Arabidopsis thaliana: one gene and its partners. The protein of the gene in region 3 interacts with the protein of the main gene of each other region in a pairwise test. Each region holds a gene or a part of one and is shown on either strand. Other genes may lie near its edges.

Region 1 (4,857 bases), on a different chromosome or scaffold from region 3:
AATTTGTTTTGTTTTCGACGTGATAGAGGGTCTTTTCTTTGGCACCACTCCTCAGTGATAGCATCGATTCTTTACAAAGAATATGACTTTGACGAGAAATTTGTCCTCTTTCCGCCTTTTCCTTTCCTTTATAAGGGTAACGGTCCTAACCATTATCAAATTTCTACATATGTATTTCTCGTCAAAGTAATCTTTGTAAAGATCACAATATCACCTTAGGTGATTTTTCTAGTTAACAATATAGTTATAAAAATAGAGATAATATAGCACTCCGGTTTCAGGAATACAGTGGTGCATGCAAAGAGATTTAAAAGAATTGATTTTTGGTTACCTATATCATCAAAATACACTTATCTTTTTGGTCAAAATACACTTATCTTTTTGGTCAAAATACACTCTAGTACCACAAGGTAATTAGTTTCACACTAAAAAAAGAAGGGTTTAAGAAATCCGAGGCGGATCCTACATTATTCGCCCTCCAAGGCATACCTACTCTTCGATAGTTGGAGACTGCCGCTTAGGCAAAGTTGAAAAGCTAGATAAGATTCAACTTTAAAATAATTGATAAGTAAAAAGAACACATCAAATTACTTTATTTTGAGAAAAAATGTTGTCTAATTAATGTGTTTTTAAAATTTATATCTAATATGGTCAAATAAATTAATACATATCTCTTATGTATTTATAATTGGACTATCATTGGAATTGAATTTCTTTCAATAATTGAAGACTTTAATTATTTGTAAATTTAACCAATAATTGTATAGATCTTAATCAATTTACGAGTTACCTAATTTTAATTCTTTGAAATTTAACAACTTTGACTAATCATATATCTAAACAATCATATGATGTCATATATGTTTTTTCAAACTTTGTATTCCAAATCTCTTTGCATTTTTTTGTTACTTTAAAATAGTCTTTTTAGTAAAAAATAGATGTTTGACTAATAAAATTGAAATGGCTGGTATATTTAAGAAACAAATCAAAGATTGTTTAGTACTAAATTTTTATCCAAATTTGGTAATAAGATATTTCAAAATCACCCAAAAATGTATCTATTCTTTTTGAAATTTCCATTATCAATTAAAAAAAAGTAAAAGATAAATTAACACATTAAATATTATATAATTAGGTAGATAAAAAGAAAAGGCTTGGGATTGTAAAAAAAAAAAAAAACCATAAACAGTTATTTTAAAGTATATCATAAATACAATTTCGAATATGTCCAAATGTAAATACACTGCATACAATGAATATAATATATGCTGGCAACAAGTTCTGTGTCCCATTATATAGTTAGACCCATATACTAAAAATGATTTTGATAAATTTGTAAAATTCACTTAACATATACATATACTTTTATAATATGAATTGCAAGAAAACATATTAACCTATAAGCTAATTTTTTTTAGTTTATTTTTCTTTCTGTTTTATGTATTAGGTAGAATTCAAATGTCAATAGTCAAGGAAATTTGCTAGTGGGGTGAAATTTACATATAATAGGTACAAGTCAAATTATGTATAACAAAATAAATTTTTAAATGTCAATAGCTTGGAAATATTTTTTAACCGCTACTTAAAAACTTTCATAAAACCTATAAGTTATAGTAGAACTTCCAGATAGAGTGACACGAATTTAGCTTAGCTAATCAAATCCTCACATTCCTTATCTTAAATAACCTTCGAAAAAAGTGTGATCCACATGTCTGTATAAAACGAACCGATTAGATTGTGACAACAATACATTCCAACAATTTATCCATCACTTTTCCATCCTCCAAAATTTTTGCAGTAAAATCTCTTTTCACTTTCAAATCAATTATGTCACATCCCACCGTAGAACAACTACATGCTTTCCATGCACAAGAAAGAGAGATATTCTCTAAACTAGTTCAAAAACTCCGAAGACCACCAGCTGAGTCACTTCTTGTCATGGCCACATGGCTTTGGTTTGAAGACTTTGGCTTCGGAAACATTTTCTCCATCATCACGGTTTTTAGCGATCTACTCATTGTAGATCTCGCTAACGAGGCTGTCTTGTGCTTTCGGTGCCTTGAATCTGACCAGCCCCCAAATGATGTCAGTCAGATCCCTCTCACCGAGAGATTCATGAAAAATGACATATCCCTTCAAATAATCCACAATCATCGATACACTGCCATTACGGGAATAAAGAACTTTTTAACCACTATTTGTTCTAGAATATTCTCTGATATCCTTCAACGAGTTCTTCCATCTTCATCATCCTCATTCATCACCAATCTCCGCCACCCTCTCATCATTCCCGGTTTCCCTCATCCAACTTTTGGGAGCATCAACGTATTGCCTAATATCGTTGCTAGGGATAATCTTCCAAACGCAAATTCATTTCTTTTTCCTCATGGTCTTTGGGGCTGGAACGCTAACCATGTCGCGACTGATAAAGAACGGACGGTATTTCTAACGTTTTCTCGTGGTTTTCCCGTGTCACATGCTGAGGTGATTCATCTCTTCACCGAGATATATGGAGAAGATTGTGTCGAAAGCGTTTACATGCCAGAGGACGGTGGAAATTCCTCCAATGACAACACAAATTGCAATGGTCATCAGCAACAACCACTATTCGCGAAGATGGTCTTGGACTCGGTTGTTACCGTAGATCGTATACTCAGCGGCCAGGAAAAACAAAAGTATAAGATCAATGGAAAGCATATTTGGGCTCGTAAGTTCAAGAATAATAAAGACGGTCTTATCTAATTAAATAAAGTCATAAGGATTTTTAGTTTCTAGTTTTTCAATTTGCTGGTGTCAAATCCCTTATCTTATATTGTAGTCTAATAATTAGAAACCATATGTAACGTTTCGACGATGGTATCTTCACTTAATTTGACGGGAATGTGTTTCACTTAAGTTTGAGGTTTGAGGTGACTTTAGATATCCAATATATTTCACATTTCTTTTAAGCAAGAGTGGTACTCAATATTTTTATGCACTACCATATCTCTAATGTTTTCTCAACATAAAATATAATTCACACGTTTAAAATAAATAGCTTTTGATCAACCAAGCTTCTAACGATACTACGCTGATTTGGGGGAAATCACCATCATCGTCACCGTCACTGTCACCGTCGGTTCCTCCTTTGAATGAATTTTAGTAGGATCCCTTTGATGTCATTGACAACCGCCATCATCATCGTCTCTATTACCACCGTTGATGCTGCCACGAGCACCACTGACGTTAAAACCACCAGGACTACCACCACAACAACCACTATCACCACTAACAAAGAGACCAAGTTTTTTCATAAACTACCTTCCATGTTTAATTACTATAGTTTGAATATAGAGTGCTAGTTTCTTAATTTATTAATAAAAAAATGGTAGTCTTGCACAAATTTTTCTTCTTTATAAAGAAAGATATCACAAAATTTTATCAATTAAATTTATTGAATAAAACAAAAGATTTTCTCTCTTCTATTGTTTACCTTTCTTTTTAGTAAGTAATTAAGTCTAAATGTGCAAGAAATCCACAGATAATAAATTCAAAGAGATAAACTTTGATGTTGTTAGAAATGGAGGATAATCATACAATAGACGGATCGGTTTCTCGAGTAATTGTTTTTTTATTAAACGGATTATACCAAATTTAGACCGATTTTCACCAATAATCAAATCAAACAGAACCGAACCAAATTACCTTCATTAATTGGAAAAAAATCGAATTTAGCCAAAAATAACCAAGTTAACCGGATTTTTTTAAAATGAATACAGAGATTATCGACAGTGGAAAAAGGAAAAGAACTCGAAAAGAAGACCATAAACGCAGAACCATAAGCATACACAGACGAATGTTAAGCGATTAGTTTTAACACATTTCATAGGTCTTTTAAATGTATATTATCGAGTCTTTGATATCGAGAACATATAGTTTTCGATATCTTTTAGTGTTTTTGGATTTGTGGACCTGCTGGGGTTAAAAGAGGTGTGTTGGAAGAGAAATGAAGCCAAATGAGTCAAGTGAAGTAATTGGAGATGCAGAGCAGTGCAAAAGCGTCATCACTAATTAGTTTGGCCGCCTCTGATAGAAGACTTCCTACCGATAGATCTTTCTCAACTTTGTACACAAGATAGAGTAGGATATAATCTCTTTATTGATCAAAGTATGATAACAAAGTATAACAATCAAGGCACATCAAATCAATTTATAAACCCTAGTCACGTTTCAAGAATCCAAATAGGAAATACACAATAAATATTGTCTTGTAGAGATTGCAAATAGTTGTTAAGACGAAGAACAAACTATTTTTATTTATTACGTGGGTCATATTCAAAATTGAATAAATGTAAATTTACTGTAAATGATGCACTTTTGGATAAATCCTGACAAAAACTAGATTTATATCGTTCATAAACCTTTCACATATCAGCCATTGCAACCATATGAAGTTTTGAAAATAAGCTTGTAGGTGATTTTTGGGAGGATTTACTCACATGACTAAATTGGGCCCATGAGTGAAAGTGAAGCCCATTTGTAAAATAAATGTCACACTACACACAAAAACCCTAAAAATCATTTCAGTCTTCTCAAGGTTTTTGAAATTTCTATCTTCCATTTCCATCTGATGAATCTCTGACGATGTCTTTGAGAACTCGAGCATCGTCATGGCCTCGTCTTCTACTTCGCCGGAACCCTAGATCTTCATTTTCTCGTCAGATATCTACTCTCGATTCCTCAACATCAACATTTCCCAGAAGAATCTCCGGTTACTACTCCTCCTCCTTCTTTCCCGTAAATCAAACGCCATGGATCTCATCTCAGAGGTACCGTTTCTTCTCCTCAAGCACAATGTCACCATCGGAAGCTGATAGA
Region 2 (8,415 bases), on a different chromosome or scaffold from region 3:
GATGTAGCAAAGCAAAGCGGATATCCGGCAAATATCACACAAAAATCCGGATATTTGTATTTCCGGATATTCGGAAATTTTCGGATCAAAGCAAATAATAAAATTAAGTATTCGATTAAAACGAATTGAATAACAAATATCCCAAATTTTCCGGATATTCGCTTCGTGCTCAGGCCTAACGTGTATCCATCCATATACATAAAAAAAATCTCTTCACATGATATATGCAGATAAATGGTTTTATATTTCGTCGTTATGCATGTAGCATGCACCAATTTAGTAGTCATGATGTCCATTTATGATTGTATCTAGTCCAATAAACTGAAAAGATACTAACATTATAACAAAAATAAATAAATGAAAAGATACATCACTTTAGAATGTTAATTTATTACTATATCATTTTATTCCTAATTAACTGTACTTCTATTTCTAATTAAGATTAGTATTCAAAAATTCGGCTTAAAGAGATTAAGATACCTTTAAGTAGCTGTATAGACAGACAACCCCTAATTAGAAAGCAGCTACTCTTTTTTTTTTTTATATAGTAGTACCAAGATAAACGACAAAAGCAATTAACAAATGTTCGCAATGTCGACCTCATCAAAAACAAAATTAAGAAACCGACAACGTTTCTTGTATTTTTACTCAGCATATAACAACAAGAGAAACGACGACATAGTGGAGAATACGAAGCATATAGTTTCTTAGGATTCTTCTATCACAGGTCACTGCCTTTTTTGTCTACGTATCTTGTCCTAATTTGCATGTGAAGATTTGATGGGCTTTTTGTGCATCGCTTTCAGCATTCGGAACCCGATCATATTCGTTTTATCCGACTCCGACCCGAGGGTTATATGCAAGCAATTAATATTTCGTTGTTCTTGTTCGTTCCTGAGGACCATCGCCGAATTCTAAGACTTGTGATTACTTAAACTGGAATTTAAAAGATTAGAAAGCTAACAAAAGTATATGGTAACGTCATGTGTAATTAAATGCATGATTAGTTTTTGACTTTTAAATATCATATAGTTTTTGTTTTTGTATGTTATACAGAATTCTTTCATTATGTTCTACCTAACAGAAAAGAGATATAAATTTAGTGTAATCTTATAAAATAAGCATGGCTGCGGTTGCCATATTACAACTCTGTCTAATCACCACAATCATTTTAGTTAAGGGTTTTGGTAACATATAATTATCATGGAAATTAAAGACGGTGATAGCGTAAACTAATTAAGAAAATCACATCACATACTTGATACTCCTAAAAGAAAACATTAAAGTAGAAAGAAAGAAACTAAAAGCCAAAAATGCGTGTGTAATCGTATGAGTGATATTTGGTGTACTACAAAGCCTGCAATTTGAAAATGTTGACACGTACGTCCTTAAAACATTTGAGACTATTGGATTCAGACTTTTGAAAAGCAAAACTTTGGATTCGGAAACCAGGCAGGCTTATATGGATACCATTAAGGCCCGTGAATCATATATTGCCCATTTAAGGAGGTATTTATTTTTGATATATTTTATTTTTAATTTATTATAAGTTCATCATTATCCCGGTTATCGTGAAGACTAGTCATATCCAATTAACGTTATTGCTCTAACGGAAACGTGCACAAACAAATTCAAATTGCAGTTTACGGTGAAGCTTTTGACGAATGAATAAAGAGATGCTACATCCCCAAATCGTATATCCTAAGTTGAAATATTCCATGATAATTAAACTCAGTTATATATATAACTTGGTTAGTTAACAAACTGGTGTGGATGTGCTTAGCCTGTCTTCATATCCTGAGACAACTTTTTCTTTATTTTTAAAACCTGTCAATTACAAAATTAACGTAATATTCAATAACAAATAAAATTCTATTTCGACCCCGGAAACATATATATATATATATATATATAATTCAAATGAAAATGACAAGGGAATAAGCATTTCGGAGAATATGCCTATTAATTTACATTATATAACATAGTACAACCACACACGCCACATTAACAATTCAACTAGCTAGTTTTTAATTTATCAGAAAATGAACTTGAAAATATGTTATAATCTACACTAAATGTTAATAGAAGACTTTTTCTCATCTATTTTCAGGAAAAAAAAAATAACAAATTTCTTGAACCAACTAACAAAATTAGCAAATTAACGTACAATGATCCATTTTTTAACAATCATTAGAGTGATATAGTAGTAATCCGATACCAGATCCTCAAAATATATGGAGACATAGTCATTCAACTGCTGGTTTTTGCATAATCCATGTGTATTAGCCTAATACTATTAGGTTTGATGCATCCAGTCTTTCTAAAACACGTCATTATAACTCACGCGTTTAGTTTGATAGACATATAATGATGCACTTAATACTTTCATATTCGTTGTCATCTATGTGTAGCAGCATAGTGCACTTGTTCGTCTCAGACTTTATAGAATTTTAGATTCGTGAGTAGAAAATGGCTTTTCGCTTAACTTTTCATAAATCTTATGTCACACTTAATTAAAAATTGACTAGCACCTTAAAATTAACATATATGTGTAACATGAAGAATATTGATATCTTGCATGATACTAACTCTTTTGGGGTCTTCTGAAAAATAGATTGCATGCATATCTGATCAAATGCAAATAGATTATGTTATAAAAAAAAGTCATTTATTCTACTGATTGGAATGGAAATAAGTTTTCACCGGCGGGAACAAAAAAGGTGAACACGTCGGCAGAAATAGAGAATTAAGAAAGACTGCGAGTTGGTGTACCAAATCTCATCCGTGCTTCTCATAATCAGGTACACGTGTCATTAATCGGTTAAGGTGGACCACCCCATAGATAAGTACTACTGTGTGTGTGTCCACAGCAGATAAATAAACCTCTTCTTTCATGTTCTCGACCACGTCAGATTTTTTAGCAGCAAAGCACACAAATCCCCAAGAAGCTTCGTTTTGGTATGTTAAAGTAAAATCGAATAAATTTTGCACACAAATCTCAATTTTAATTGTCTTTCCCTCTTCTCGTGAAATTTTCCGACAAAATATCAGTTTCTTCTTGCCGTGAGTTTTGGTTGGTCTGACCAAGAGTCCTTTTATTTGGTCAATACGTTTCGAAATTTGATAATCAAACTCTTTCTTCCTCTTCTTCTTCTTCCTTATCCGTAGACTCTAGGGTTTCAATACGATTCGAGTGTGTCTGTTTGCTCTCTAGTCAAAAATTTCACTCTGGTTAGAAACTTTCCCTTTTGGATTGTGAAACTGCTATTTTAAATCACTGCTTATTGATTCGTGTTCCGGAGTGATCTTGGTGAATATTCTTAATTTGTTTCGTTGTTTTGTGGTTTTAGATATCAAACGATCTGGTTTGTCGGATTTGATATTGGAGCAATGGCTTTGGTGAGTCCAATTCCAGCAATGGGTGAAAGAGCTGGATCCATGAGATTTCACGGAATTGGTAGCCCAGGATCAAGGTCTAGTAGGAGCGGGATTATGGACGAACCTGTCTCGCGGCTGATTGACGAGAAGATCTTCGTTGCAGTGGATAAACACGTGGCCAAGAGCAAATCTACACTCATTTGGGCTTTGCAAAACACTGGAGGCAAGAAGATTTGCCTTATTCATGTTCATCAGCCCTCCCAAATGATCCCACTTAGTATGTTCCCTTACACCTTGTCTCTGTGCTTTTTTTCCACTTAGTCTTGTTTGTGGTCACTGATCTTGTTTTTTCACATTGATTCATCCTAGTGGGCGCCAAATTTCCAGTTGGTGCTGTGAAGGAGGAAGAAGTCAGGGTTTTCAGGGAAAAGGAAAGGGAGAAAGTACATATGATCCTAGACGACTACCTTCGTATATGCCAGCAGAGAGGGGTATGCCTCCATCTATTTTCCTTTTCTTTAGTGTTGATGTTATGCCCTTAATAGGGAACTTGTTTTACTTCATTGGCTAGCACTACGATTATAGTGTCCTTATGATAGATAGTGTATTTATGATTGTAGGTCAGGGCAGAAAAGATGTTTATTGAAATGGAATCCATCGAGAATGGAATTGTGCAGCTCATCTCGGAGCTGGGAATCAGGAAACTTGTCATGGGAGCAGCAGCAGATAGACACTATTCAAGGTATGCTTATGGCGAGTCACTAAGCATTTTTTGGGATCTCTACTTATTCATACTGAATCAACTCCTGTAGATCTGTGTGCTTCTTACTCTTCAATATCCTTATGTTTTGCTTCCTCTATCAATACTTTGGCTTTCAGGAGAATGACGGATCTGAAGTCCAGGAAAGCCATCTTCGTACGCCGAGAAGCACCTACTCTTTGTCAAATATGGTTTACTTGCAAAGGATACTTGATACATACAAGGTTTGGCCAATTCTTCTTCTCATCACAACCGAATCCTTGGATTTCAAAATGACTTGTACGAATCAGCCATGCATAATTATTACTCTAGTAGTCTTTAAGCTTCCCGAGATCTGCATTGGCATTGAAAATGACGCATCTGTGGCTGCTTATTAGTAATAAATATTGTACTATCATTGCAGGGAAGCTACTATGGACGACACTGAATCAGAATATGCATCTCCGCGTCCTTCCATAAGTGCAAGTGATCTACTTCAAACTTTCTCTACACCGGAGTCTGAACATCAGCATATATCTCGAGTACAGAGCACCGATTCAGTTCAACAATTAGTAAGCAATGGAAGCTCAACTGAACAAAGCGGGAGGGTGTCGGATGGGTCTTTAAATACTGATGAGGAGGAGAGAGAATCTGATGGCAGTGAAGTAACGGGAAGTGCAACAGTTATGAGTTCTGGCCATTCATCTCCCTCCAGTTTTCCGGTATGCCATGTTGTTCCTAATGGAAAAGCAATGCATTTTGATTTTCATATAACATTGTATCTCAGCTGTCCAGGAAATTTGTCCATCATTGCAGGATGGGGTGGATGATTCTTTTAACGTTAAAATCCGAAAAGCCACGTCAGAGGCTCACAGTTCAAAACAAGAAGCTTTTGCAGAGACTCTTAGGCGTCAGAAAGCCGAAAAAAACGCACTTGATGCAATCAGAAGGGTGAGTTTCCTTACAAAAATAATTTAGTTGGCACTGTTAAAACTTTTTTGGAAATGATTGCTAGATGTTCTAGCTGGAGATATATACTATACTGGAACCGCTAGTGTATCACTTGGAGAGATCCCTAGGCTTAATAGTGGTGCTTCTAGTTACACCAATAACAGCTAAAATATTATAGTATACTGATATTATAGGTAATTATTATAGGCTAAACAATCAGAAAGTGCCTATTCTGAGGAATTGAAGCGAAGGAAAGATACGGAGATAGCAGTAGCGAAAGAGAAAGAGAGATTTATAACAATAAAAAACGAGCAAGAGGTGATCATGGAAGAACTTCAAAGTGCAATGGCTCAGAAAGCGATGCTTGAGAGCCAGATAGCAAAATCTGATGGTACAATGGAAAAGCTAAACCAGAAGCTTGATATAGCTGTGAAGTTGTTGCAAAAGTTGAGGGATGAACGAGAGGAGTTGCAGACAGAACGTGACAGAGCACTCAGAGAAGCTGAGGAGTTAAGGAGTCACGCAGAAACCTCAACCCTACAGTTGCCTCAGTACTTCACGGATTTCTCATTCTCCGAGATTGAGGAAGCAACTAATCACTTTGATTCGACCCTGAAGATTGGGGAAGGTGGATATGGAAGCATCTACGTTGGTTTACTGCGTCATACTCAGGTGGCTATAAAAATGTTGAATCCTAACAGTTCGCAAGGCCCTGTAGAATATCAACAGGAGGTATTTTCTTGACATATTATTAGTGAAATTTCTTGTTTAGTTTCATCATCATTGTTTACTGGTTTATTGTGCACAAACTGCTGCCTCTACGAAAAAGGGGACTTTGAAACACAGTTCTACTGTAGTTTTGATTTTATAGTGTTCGCTGTGGAGGAGCTTTGACTTATTCTTGCGGCATTGCAGGTTGATGTCCTAAGTAAAATGAGGCATCCAAATATCATTACGCTAATTGGAGCATGTCCAGAGGGGTGGAGTCTTGTCTATGAGTATCTTCCGGGTGGAAGCCTTGAAGACAGGCTTACTTGCAAAGACAACTCTCCACCCTTGTCGTGGCAAAATCGTGTGCGCATTGCCACTGAGATATGTGCAGCACTTGTCTTTCTTCATTCTAATAAAGCTCATAGCTTAGTACATGGTGATTTGAAGCCGGCAAATATCCTACTCGATTCCAATCTCGTTAGCAAGTTAAGTGACTTTGGGACCTGCTCACTACTTCATCCTAACGGAAGCAAAAGTGTGAGAACTGACGTTACAGGCACAGTTGCCTATTTGGATCCAGAAGCTTCCAGTAGTGGAGAGCTAACTCCTAAGTCAGATGTTTACTCGTTTGGGATTATCTTATTGCGCTTGTTGACCGGGAGACCTGCCTTACGGATATCAAATGAAGTGAAATATGCCCTCGATAATGGAACATTGAACGACCTCTTGGACCCTTTAGCAGGGGACTGGCCCTTTGTTCAGGCTGAGCAGCTTGCTCGCTTAGCATTGAGATGCTGCGAGACTGTCAGCGAGAATCGTCCAGATCTTGGAACTGAAGTGTGGAGGGTACTTGAACCTATGAGGGCTTCTAGTGGAGGATCTTCATCTTTCCATCTTGGCCGTAACGAGCACCGGATAGCCCCTCCATACTTCATTTGCCCCATTTTCCAGGTAACTAATCTGTATATTTGAGTATGGATTTCCAGTATTATTATCAATCTGAGAAGACTTCGATCACAAAGTCATTAAAATTTGCTTATCTGAGGTCTCAAACCGTTATGTTGCAGTCTAATGGTACTCAACCCGTTCTTCCTCTGCTTTGTTTTCAAATATTTCAGGAAGTCATGCAGGATCCACACGTGGCTGCAGACGGTTTCACATACGAAGCAGAGGCTATAAGAGCGTGGCTGGACAGTGAGCATGATACTTCACCAATGACCAATGTCAAGCTTTCTCACACCAGCCTAATAGCTAACCATGCTCTTCGTTCTGCGATTCAAGAGTGGCTTCAACATCATTTGTGAAAATAAAATCCTTCAAACCCTCAATCCCTGTTCTCTTATGAAAAAACGTTTTTGCCTTTTCTGCGGGAGGCAACAGAGTAAGTGAGTAAGATTAGTGTTTTCAGTCTTCCTTATACATATACATACGATCTAATCATGGATAGCAGCATATTTGTTTACTTTTTCAAGCATAGTGTAAGTCCTCCATATCAGTCATATATGAAAAGAAGAAGCTGGTGAGATTTGTATGTGGATATGTATATATATATATATATATATATATATATATATATGTTCTGTATGAAAAAAAAAGTTATATGCTTATTCGGTTTGTGTGAGAAGAACTGCCACTATTTTGTTCTTCCATTATGTTCGGCTCTCTTAAGAACAAAGATTAGCCTCTAATTATTGGACATGATCTCACTGATGATGCCTTTGCTTAGCTAAAATTAGGATGAGTCTTACATTTTTAGTCAAGACTATCGTGTAAGACTTGTTTTCCACCTGGAAGAAGTTACCTTGGATTGCCTATAGTGATTTTTAATGAACTCTTAAAATTCTTGTGATTAATCTTACTTAATTAGCAGTGGGGTCAGGTCGTTTTGGCGGCTAGTGGCATAACTGTATAAAAATTCAGGATTGCACTGAGGTAAGCCAACCTAACGCAGCCTTTAAAGACACCAACCTGGAAAATGCTGAGAGTATTCTTCAGGATTTTCTCAAAAGTCTTGTGAAATTCGTGTATTTGTGTCAATATGTCGACATTTCTCTTCATACACAGATACTGTCGCTTTTGATTCCTGGTTTGGCTTGTTGAAAGTCAAAAAGCCTTCATTATTTTAATACATGATTCAGCTTCTGCGTTAAGGCTAGGTTTCGTCATTGGTACCGTGGTTGACTTCGTGTGCATGTTATAACATAAGAAAATGTTCTTGCTTGTTGATTGCTCCCTCTGTTAGATAAGTCATCTCTTTTCTCGTATTGCAAATTTTAAGTTTGTTCTTGTTTATTCTCTTGAGTGAATTAGAGGTATGTTTTGAGTGTTCTCATATGGAGTGTGTTGGAGATAGGAGCTTCGATCCAAGCAAAGGGGAAAAGTGTTGGCTTCATGAGGCTTCGATGCAGCCTTAAACGCTAAAATCCAGGCCAAGCAAGATGGAGATAGAGAGAGATGATGGGCAAATCAGGTTCGCAGCAGCTGCTGATGGATGAGAAGATATATGTTGCAGTGGGGAGTGACTTGGGGAACAAGTCCACTCTTGTTTGGGCGATACAGAACACTGGAGGCAAGGAGTTCTGTATCGTCCACGTTCACCAGCCACTCTACAGAAAAGAAAAGGAAAAGACACAAAA
Region 3 (7,190 bases):
GTTATGAGTATCTTTAGTTTTATTTATACAAATTTGTTCAAAACATAGGGTTAGTTTAGGGACTGTGTAGTCCAGAGACATATTCATCTATAAGGACAATGAAATCAAAGGAGCTGCTTTTGATTGATTTTAGTTTTGATGATGACATTGAATAAAATAAGAAACATATCTCCAAGGTTCTTGGAAGATTTAGATTCTACCAAACTGATGTCAAAAGATTTACTACAACAAGAAATTCTTTAACATCCAAAGATAACAACTTAAAATAAGCTAGAATCAACAAAAATCTTTAAAGATCAAAACACTTTTTAACCAGTGATGTTCTGAGACTTGTTGAGGATAACTCCTTCATACTTGACCTGGAACCATTTCATTGCATCATCCTTGGTTACTCTGTGTTGAATACCAACACGAGTCTTGCATCTACGGCGGCGAGCCACACGATATCCTGGGCGTTCAAGGACAACGTAAAAGTCCATTCCGTAGATACCAGTGGAAGGATCGTACCTATATACACAAAATAAAACACATGAGAACAGTAAACATTTCAAATAAACCAGTTAATCAGTTTCGAATCTAACACCCTTGAAAAACAGTAAAGCATTCATCTTTTACTAGACCCAAATCTAGCATTCAACCAAAAACTAGTAAAGGGCTCATTTTTAATCCAATCCATACTTAAAATTCCACAAAAACTATAACACTCAGCGAAAACCAAAGTAGTCTGCATTCTGACTAAACCTCACAAAACCCCTAATTTAGAGACTTGACATTTAGATGCAACTGAAATTCTTTTAAACATATACAGATACATGAAGAATCCAAGTACCAAAACCATTATACAAAGCCATTAATGTAACTAATTCAAGGAAACTTTCATCGCAAAAGAAACAGAAAACTTACTTGATTCCAAGATCAATGTGCTCTTGGATACCAAATCCAAAGCAACCAGTGTCACTGAAGTTCCTCCTAAGAAGCTCATACTCCTTAACTTTCAAACCACTCTCAAGAAGCTGCATTGCCTTCTCACCTCTCACAGTCACATAACACGCAATCTTCTCATTACGCCTGATACCAAAAGACCTCACAGTGTACCTCGCTGTATAACAAAAACCACAACATACATCAGAATCAAGATCAACACAAAATCAAACTTAAATCCCTGAAAGATTTCAAATTCACATACCCTTAGAGAAGACAGGGGTTTGTCCACTGAGCTGCTCCAACACCTATACGAAATAACCAAAAACAATAATTCAAATCTAAATCACTAAATCAATGATGGATAATCGTAAAGGTCAGATTTTTACAAACAAAATCGAACCTTGGAGGCACGAGTGAGACGATCACCACTCTCACCAACGGAAATGTTGAGAACAAGTTTCTGAACCTTAATGTCCCTCATGGGGTTCGAGAGCTTCTTCTCCGACGCCTGAGAAACAAAACAAAGCCGAAAAATAAACCCATTGAACTAAACACATTTTCATTGAATCGATCTACAGAGACGAACGAAACAAATACCATTTTAAGGAGATCAATGTCGAGCTAAGAGACGAAGCAGTGTAGAGTTTGCAAAGCCCAAAACTGCGTCGAGTGCAAAGTGAGAGAACTTATATGGGTCGGTACTTAGGGTTTCTTGAATTAACGCAATGACGAAATTACCCCTTTGATTTATTAAAATGGTTTAATGGGCCAATATTATAAAGCCCATAAGAAAAGCATAATCTTAAGCATATATTTGGCCTTCTTAGTTACATAAGGCAAATAGTCTTTCATTCGCCGAATCACTTTATTATGTATGAGTTTTAAAATTAACGATAGATAATTTTTTATGAGACTGTGGAAACGCAAATCTTCATTTATTTTTGGAAGAACAGAATAAATAAGAGTTATTGAGAAAACAAATTTTTACAGTTAATGCCATGACAATGACAACAAAATCAAGAAGACTAGTTAAGACACTATGAAGTCTATCATCGTGGTCCAGAGAGCTCAATGGCTTCAATAATAAAGGACTGCTCTTCATGACCATTACTGTAGTTCCTAGAGACACTTGGAGCTCTAGCTTCATACCCTCCTTCACACTGTTCCACTAAACCTTCTAGTACCTTCAACACTTGAGACATCCTCGGTCTTAGATTCGGATGTGGCTGTGTACAAAGCAAAGCCAATTCCACTACTTCCTCCAACACCAAATCATCAAACTCTCCCTTCAAATCTCTGTCCACCATCTCTGCAAATCTCTTCTCTGCTTTCAATGTCCTTACCTACAAAAACCAATGGTTTAGATTTAAGTTTTGTCCTTATGGGTTCAGTCTAAGTTGAGTAAATGACTCATAGAATTTTTTTACTTACCCAGCTCAATATCATTCCTTTTCGAACTTGACCATTGCCTTGATCAATCATCTTATGACCTGTTATGAGTTCAAGGATTAGTACTCCGAATCCGAAAACATCGGTTTTCTCTGAGGACTGTCCAGTGGAAAGGTACTCGGGAGCGATGTGTCCAATGGTTCCTCGGACTGCGGTAGTGACATGTGAATCTCTCTGGTCTAAAAGCTTTGCTAGACCAAAATCGCCAACTATTGCTTCAAAGCTCTCATCAAGTAGAATATTTGCAGCTTTGACGTCTCTGTGAATAATCTTTGGATTGCATTGCTCGTGCAAGTAAACAAGTCCTCGAGCTGCGCCGAGTGCAATGCTTATCCTCCGATTCCAATCTAGAGACGGCTTTTCTCCATAATTGTCTGAAACATGTAATCTTATAAGGAACTTTTCGCGTTATATATCGAAAGAATAACAAAACAAGAAATGTGTTAATTGAAAACCTCTCAGACGATCAGCTACGCTTCCATTTGGCATGTACGGATACACAAGCATTCTCTCTTCCGGGGTCATACAGAATCCAAAGAGGCGTAAAAGGTTACGGTGAACAGCTAAGCCAATCATCTCTACTTCGGTTTGAAACTGAACTTCTCCTGTATAAATCGGATCTTTCAATCTTTTAACTGCCACCACAGTTCCATTTGGGAGATACCCTTTATAAACCATCCCAAACCCTCCTTGTCCCAAAATGTTCTTTGGACTAAAATTGCTTGTTGCGGTTTGTATTTCGCGAAAACTGAACCTTTTCAGATGGCCGATTTCAAATTCGTAGTCTTGCTGCACTAAGAAATCCATAAAAAGTAATGCAGATTTTAGCAAAGTCTTGACATATATTGTATATGACAGACAGAGAGAGACTATTAGATATGTACCGTGTGATCTTGAGAGACGTGATCGATGCCAAAGCACCCAGAAGAAGAGAAACATTAGGGAGATGATAAAGGCAACAACAATGCCAAATGCAAAAGAGAGCACTAAGCTGTGATGTTTGCTATTGTCCTTTTCAGACAAACCCGTCGCTGCAGATCGATTGCAGCTAGTTAAATAAACGAAACCATGTTTTAAATAAAGTTTTGCAAAGAATTTTCGAAGCAACATACCATTTCTCACAGGTGTAGCATCTGAGCAAAGCTCTTGGGAAGCTGGACCACAAAGAAATGCATTTCCTACAATCCTAAAACAGAAAAGTTTATCAAGAAGCTTTCACATAAGTTGCAACGGCTAATAATCATGCATTTTTCGCATATCTTACCTGTAATCTTTTGCTGATATATTCGGAGTTGGTCCGCTTAGATTGTTGAAAGATAGATCCCTATTCAAGTTTTTCATAAATAAAAAAACATTAGTCTAAGAAACATTATACGAAATAGAAATTTCCTGGAGCTGTAATGTTAGGTAGAGTAAGACATACAAGAAAGAAAGACCTGAGAGGCCAGCGACGAGGTGAGGGACTTGCCCAGATAAAAGATTCCTGCTAAGCCGCCTACAAGACTTAACCTTGTAAGAAAATAACAATTGCAACATTAAGTAAATCAAGAATCTTTGCATCAAACTCACAAGTAGTTTAAGTGAGTTAAGAACCCTAAAGAAGCTGGGATTTCACCACTAAACCGATTCCCCGATAAATCAAGCGTTTCAAGCTCAGAGAGTTGGCCTAACTCAGAAGGAATCGGACCAGTTAACTGATTATTCTGAAGTAACCTACAATAATAACAAGTAACCCCATTAGTTACAACAACACATACTTGAATTCCAAGATTAACCACAAATTCATTTAACTCACAAAGTATGAAGATGAGTTAATTCCCCAATACTAGTAGATAGTATCCCTGATAATCCTTTACTAGCCATCTCTCTGCATTAAAGATTTCAATAAACTCAGCAAAGAAACGTTTCTCAGAGACATTTAGTCGAACAAGTGGTGTGCAAAAGATACTCACAGAGAAACCACAAAACCTTCAGAAGAACAACCAACCATGTTCCAAGTACAAGGATCAACAGAGTTAATATCCCAACCAGACAAAACCTCTTTCTCATCTTTCATCTTGTTCTTCACTGACATTAACGCAGCCACTACAATAACCCAAAAATATGGATTAAGTCAAAACCTTTTTACACAATAAAAGAAAGATCTTTGATACTTTTTTCACCTTCATAGTTAACACCCTTGGGAGATAAAAGACTATCCATGGCAGAAACAGAGTCAAGAACAGAGTAATAATAAACCCAGATTCCTAAAAACAGAAACTTCATCAAAGAAATCTCCATCGTAGAAAAAGTATAAGAATTCTCTAGACTTCAATGTTAGTTATCATTTGTATGCCCTTTCTTCTAGGGCAGACCATTTGAAACATTATAAATACATTAAAAAGATAAGTTTTTTTTGGCATTAAATTGAATCGAGATGAAGAAGAAGAAGAAGAAGACAAATAAAGAAATTGACGATTATAGCAAATGGAAGCGGGAAAATCCTCGAAGTTGTCAAACGATTGTTTCCTTGTCTTCTGTTCTGTAAGACTTTTTTTTGTTTTTATATCTGACTTTTGACAGTGTTAGTGAGATTAGATCCTCTGTAATCGGTTCTACGAGAACAATGGTACAACAGCACACTCTTGAATCTGATATGGTATTCCGATCAACGGCTTGATTTATCTTTATTTCACCATTGAAAAAGTCAATAATGCTCAAGACTAATGCTCGTATGAACGATATTGGGTTAGTAATAAGTTGGGTTAGTATGGAATAAATGGTGTGACACAATATTTGAATGGTGATGATTTTTGTAACAATAACAAAAAATAATTATCTTGCGACTAAAATAATTATCAAGTTTTAATTAATTTTTGATAACATTTCGAGTAATAGCAAAGTCTTCAAGCTTCAAGACTCTTAAAACATGCAATATAATGCTTATGTGCTCATGCACGGCTGATTTAGTCATTTTACCCTTTCTCCATAAATCTTGTTTAGCCTCATTTTACACTTTTTCGTTGCAATTAGGACATATAATTCCTTCATGTGTTAATGGTCCTCATTCCTCTGCTAATCGCTTCCATTCTCATACCATTTTAACATGAAATAATTCCGCGACGAATTTTCAGAGATCTATCCCAAAAAAACATTATGTCCTTGAGTTTTTAGTAGGTCTTGTACATACCGATACCCTTTATATCCTGCAATTAATAGTTCATTTGCAACTTCAGGACTATCCTTCGCCCAAGAAATGATCTTTGATTTGATAATAACGTCACTTGCTTGCTTTTCATCTACAATATCCACACCAAAGTCATCTCACGTAAGATTCTATAAGTATAATATTAAAGAACATTTTTCTAGAAATATAATATTAAATTTTTTTACCTGAAATGACTGAGGTAGAGTCGATATAGGTAGAATCAAAGTAACTGAAGGTACCGAGAAAAAGTTCATTAGGGTCACCAACCGCCTTAATCGTAACGGGGTCAACGTGTTTTGAGATACCATAATTTTCGGTATCCCAATACACAACGTTTTTGGCAAGTGTGTAAAAGGTATCCTTTTTTGCAAGTGCGTAACAACTATCCTCTTCAAACGGTAGAATTACAAACTAACTAAAATAATTTACCTTGTAATTCAGTAGAGTAAATTTTACAAATTCTTGTTTAAATTACTTATGTATTGGTCTTAAACAGCTTGGTCTTTTTAGTTTTGAGTTTGGATATAATTGATCTTGGATCTAATGCTTTCTTGAGTTTTTTATATTACCTATGTTAGTATGTTTGCATTTCTGCTACTGATCTCAAATCATTGTAAAATCTCTCATACATATCATTTAGAATGTGGGTAAAATTATACTATGAAATAGTAATAAAAGCGCAAATATATCATAAAGCAAAAATGTGAACGATAAGATGATCCAAACTAAATTCGAAATGGTATCAAAGTGGCAAAGACGGTCTATGGCATAATTCACCAAAGCCACTGCTTACGACATCATTAAAAATATAGAATTATTTTCTGAATATTGGTTAGGTTGTGTATGCACACAATTCGTCCATGTCATATTGTCATATAGTATTTTTATCATTTTTAAGTTAATGTTTTGCTAATGTGATTGTTTTTTCATATATTTAAAGATTTTGAACCATATATTATTTTGTAAAGTCACGTGGATCCACCATTTTTCGTAGGTGCATGAAATAATTTGAACAAAACTTACAAATATTAGTTTTGTAATTAAAATAAAAGATATTTTTAAATTTATAGTGTTAGCATCTTTCAATCATTTATGAAAATTAAATAATAAAATAAATATTGTATTATTTATTTTTTCTAAATATCAAATAAAACATTTTTTTATACAGTAAATTACAATTTTTTTCTTTTAAACTTGTTTGTTAAGTTTTATATTTTTGATTTCGCTTTAGGGAATTATAGATGTTTTGACTAATTTAATAGTTAAGTGTATTGAATAATAACTCGAGCAATTAAATTAACCATTAGATCACATCTCGTCCAAATCGTTGAGTTACCACAGAAACTTGAGATCAAGTGTTTGAATCTATCTCGGTACCCACTTCTCTTCTCTCTTCCTCTCTCTCTCTCTCATGTTGTTACGTAAATGATTTGGAGATTAAACTAAAATTATTATAATTTGAACAATTTTATTATTAGAGAAGCAATTTCTTTTTTCTCCTAGTGAATTATTATTATTGAAGTGATTAAACTAGTGTTTTCTACACCTATAAATAATGTTTTGCAGATGTAATTTGAATCATTTGATCAGTTAACGCAAATACCTAAACAAGAGTCCTAAGCTTCGCCGC

What was found.
Region 1: the proteins of AT5G45780 (region 3) and AT1G64870 interact in a protein complementation assay, tested with the Arabidopsis thaliana proteins (one large-scale study listed by BioGRID).
Region 2: the proteins of AT5G45780 (region 3) and AT2G45910 interact in a protein complementation assay, tested with the Arabidopsis thaliana proteins (one large-scale study listed by BioGRID).

The regions. Positions count from the first base shown.
Region 1 is NC_003070.9:24,101,090-24,105,946, forward strand, and holds AT1G64870 (uncharacterized protein), read left to right. Parts: upstream 1-1,827; coding exon 1,828-2,742; downstream 2,743-4,857. Other genes in the region: AT1G64880 (Ribosomal protein S5 family protein), read left to right, coding at 4,624-4,857.
Region 2 is NC_003071.7:18,891,130-18,899,544, forward strand, and holds AT2G45910 (U-box domain-containing protein kinase family protein), read left to right. Parts: upstream 1-2,900; 5' UTR 2,901-2,958; exon of another isoform or gene 2,959-3,231; intron 3,232-3,350; 5' UTR 3,351-3,390; coding exon 3,391-3,655; intron 3,656-3,747; coding exon 3,748-3,869; intron 3,870-3,998; coding exon 3,999-4,120; intron 4,121-4,257; coding exon 4,258-4,362; intron 4,363-4,541; coding exon 4,542-4,839; intron 4,840-4,933; coding exon 4,934-5,068; intron 5,069-5,275; coding exon 5,276-5,800; intron 5,801-5,983; coding exon 5,984-6,730; intron 6,731-6,897; coding exon 6,898-7,083; 3' UTR 7,084-7,399; downstream 7,400-8,415. Other genes in the region: AT2G45920 (U-box domain-containing protein), read left to right, coding at 8,234-8,415. UniProt on the Arabidopsis thaliana protein: Functions as an E3 ubiquitin ligase.
Region 3 is NC_003076.8:18,564,973-18,572,162, forward strand, and holds AT5G45780 (Leucine-rich repeat protein kinase family protein), read right to left. Parts: upstream 4,935-7,190; 5' UTR 4,654-4,934; coding exon 4,536-4,653; exon of another isoform or gene 4,459-4,535; coding exon 4,326-4,458; intron 4,241-4,325; coding exon 4,169-4,240; intron 4,087-4,168; coding exon 3,943-4,086; intron 3,869-3,942; coding exon 3,797-3,868; intron 3,698-3,796; coding exon 3,638-3,697; intron 3,560-3,637; coding exon 3,486-3,559; intron 3,405-3,485; coding exon 3,258-3,404; intron 3,168-3,257; coding exon 2,829-3,167; intron 2,748-2,828; coding exon 2,356-2,747; intron 2,268-2,355; coding exon 1,974-2,267; 3' UTR 1,826-1,973; downstream 1-1,825. Other genes in the region: AT5G45775 (Ribosomal L5P family protein), read right to left, coding at 309-507, 904-1,099, 1,187-1,229, 1,325-1,432, 1,522-1,524.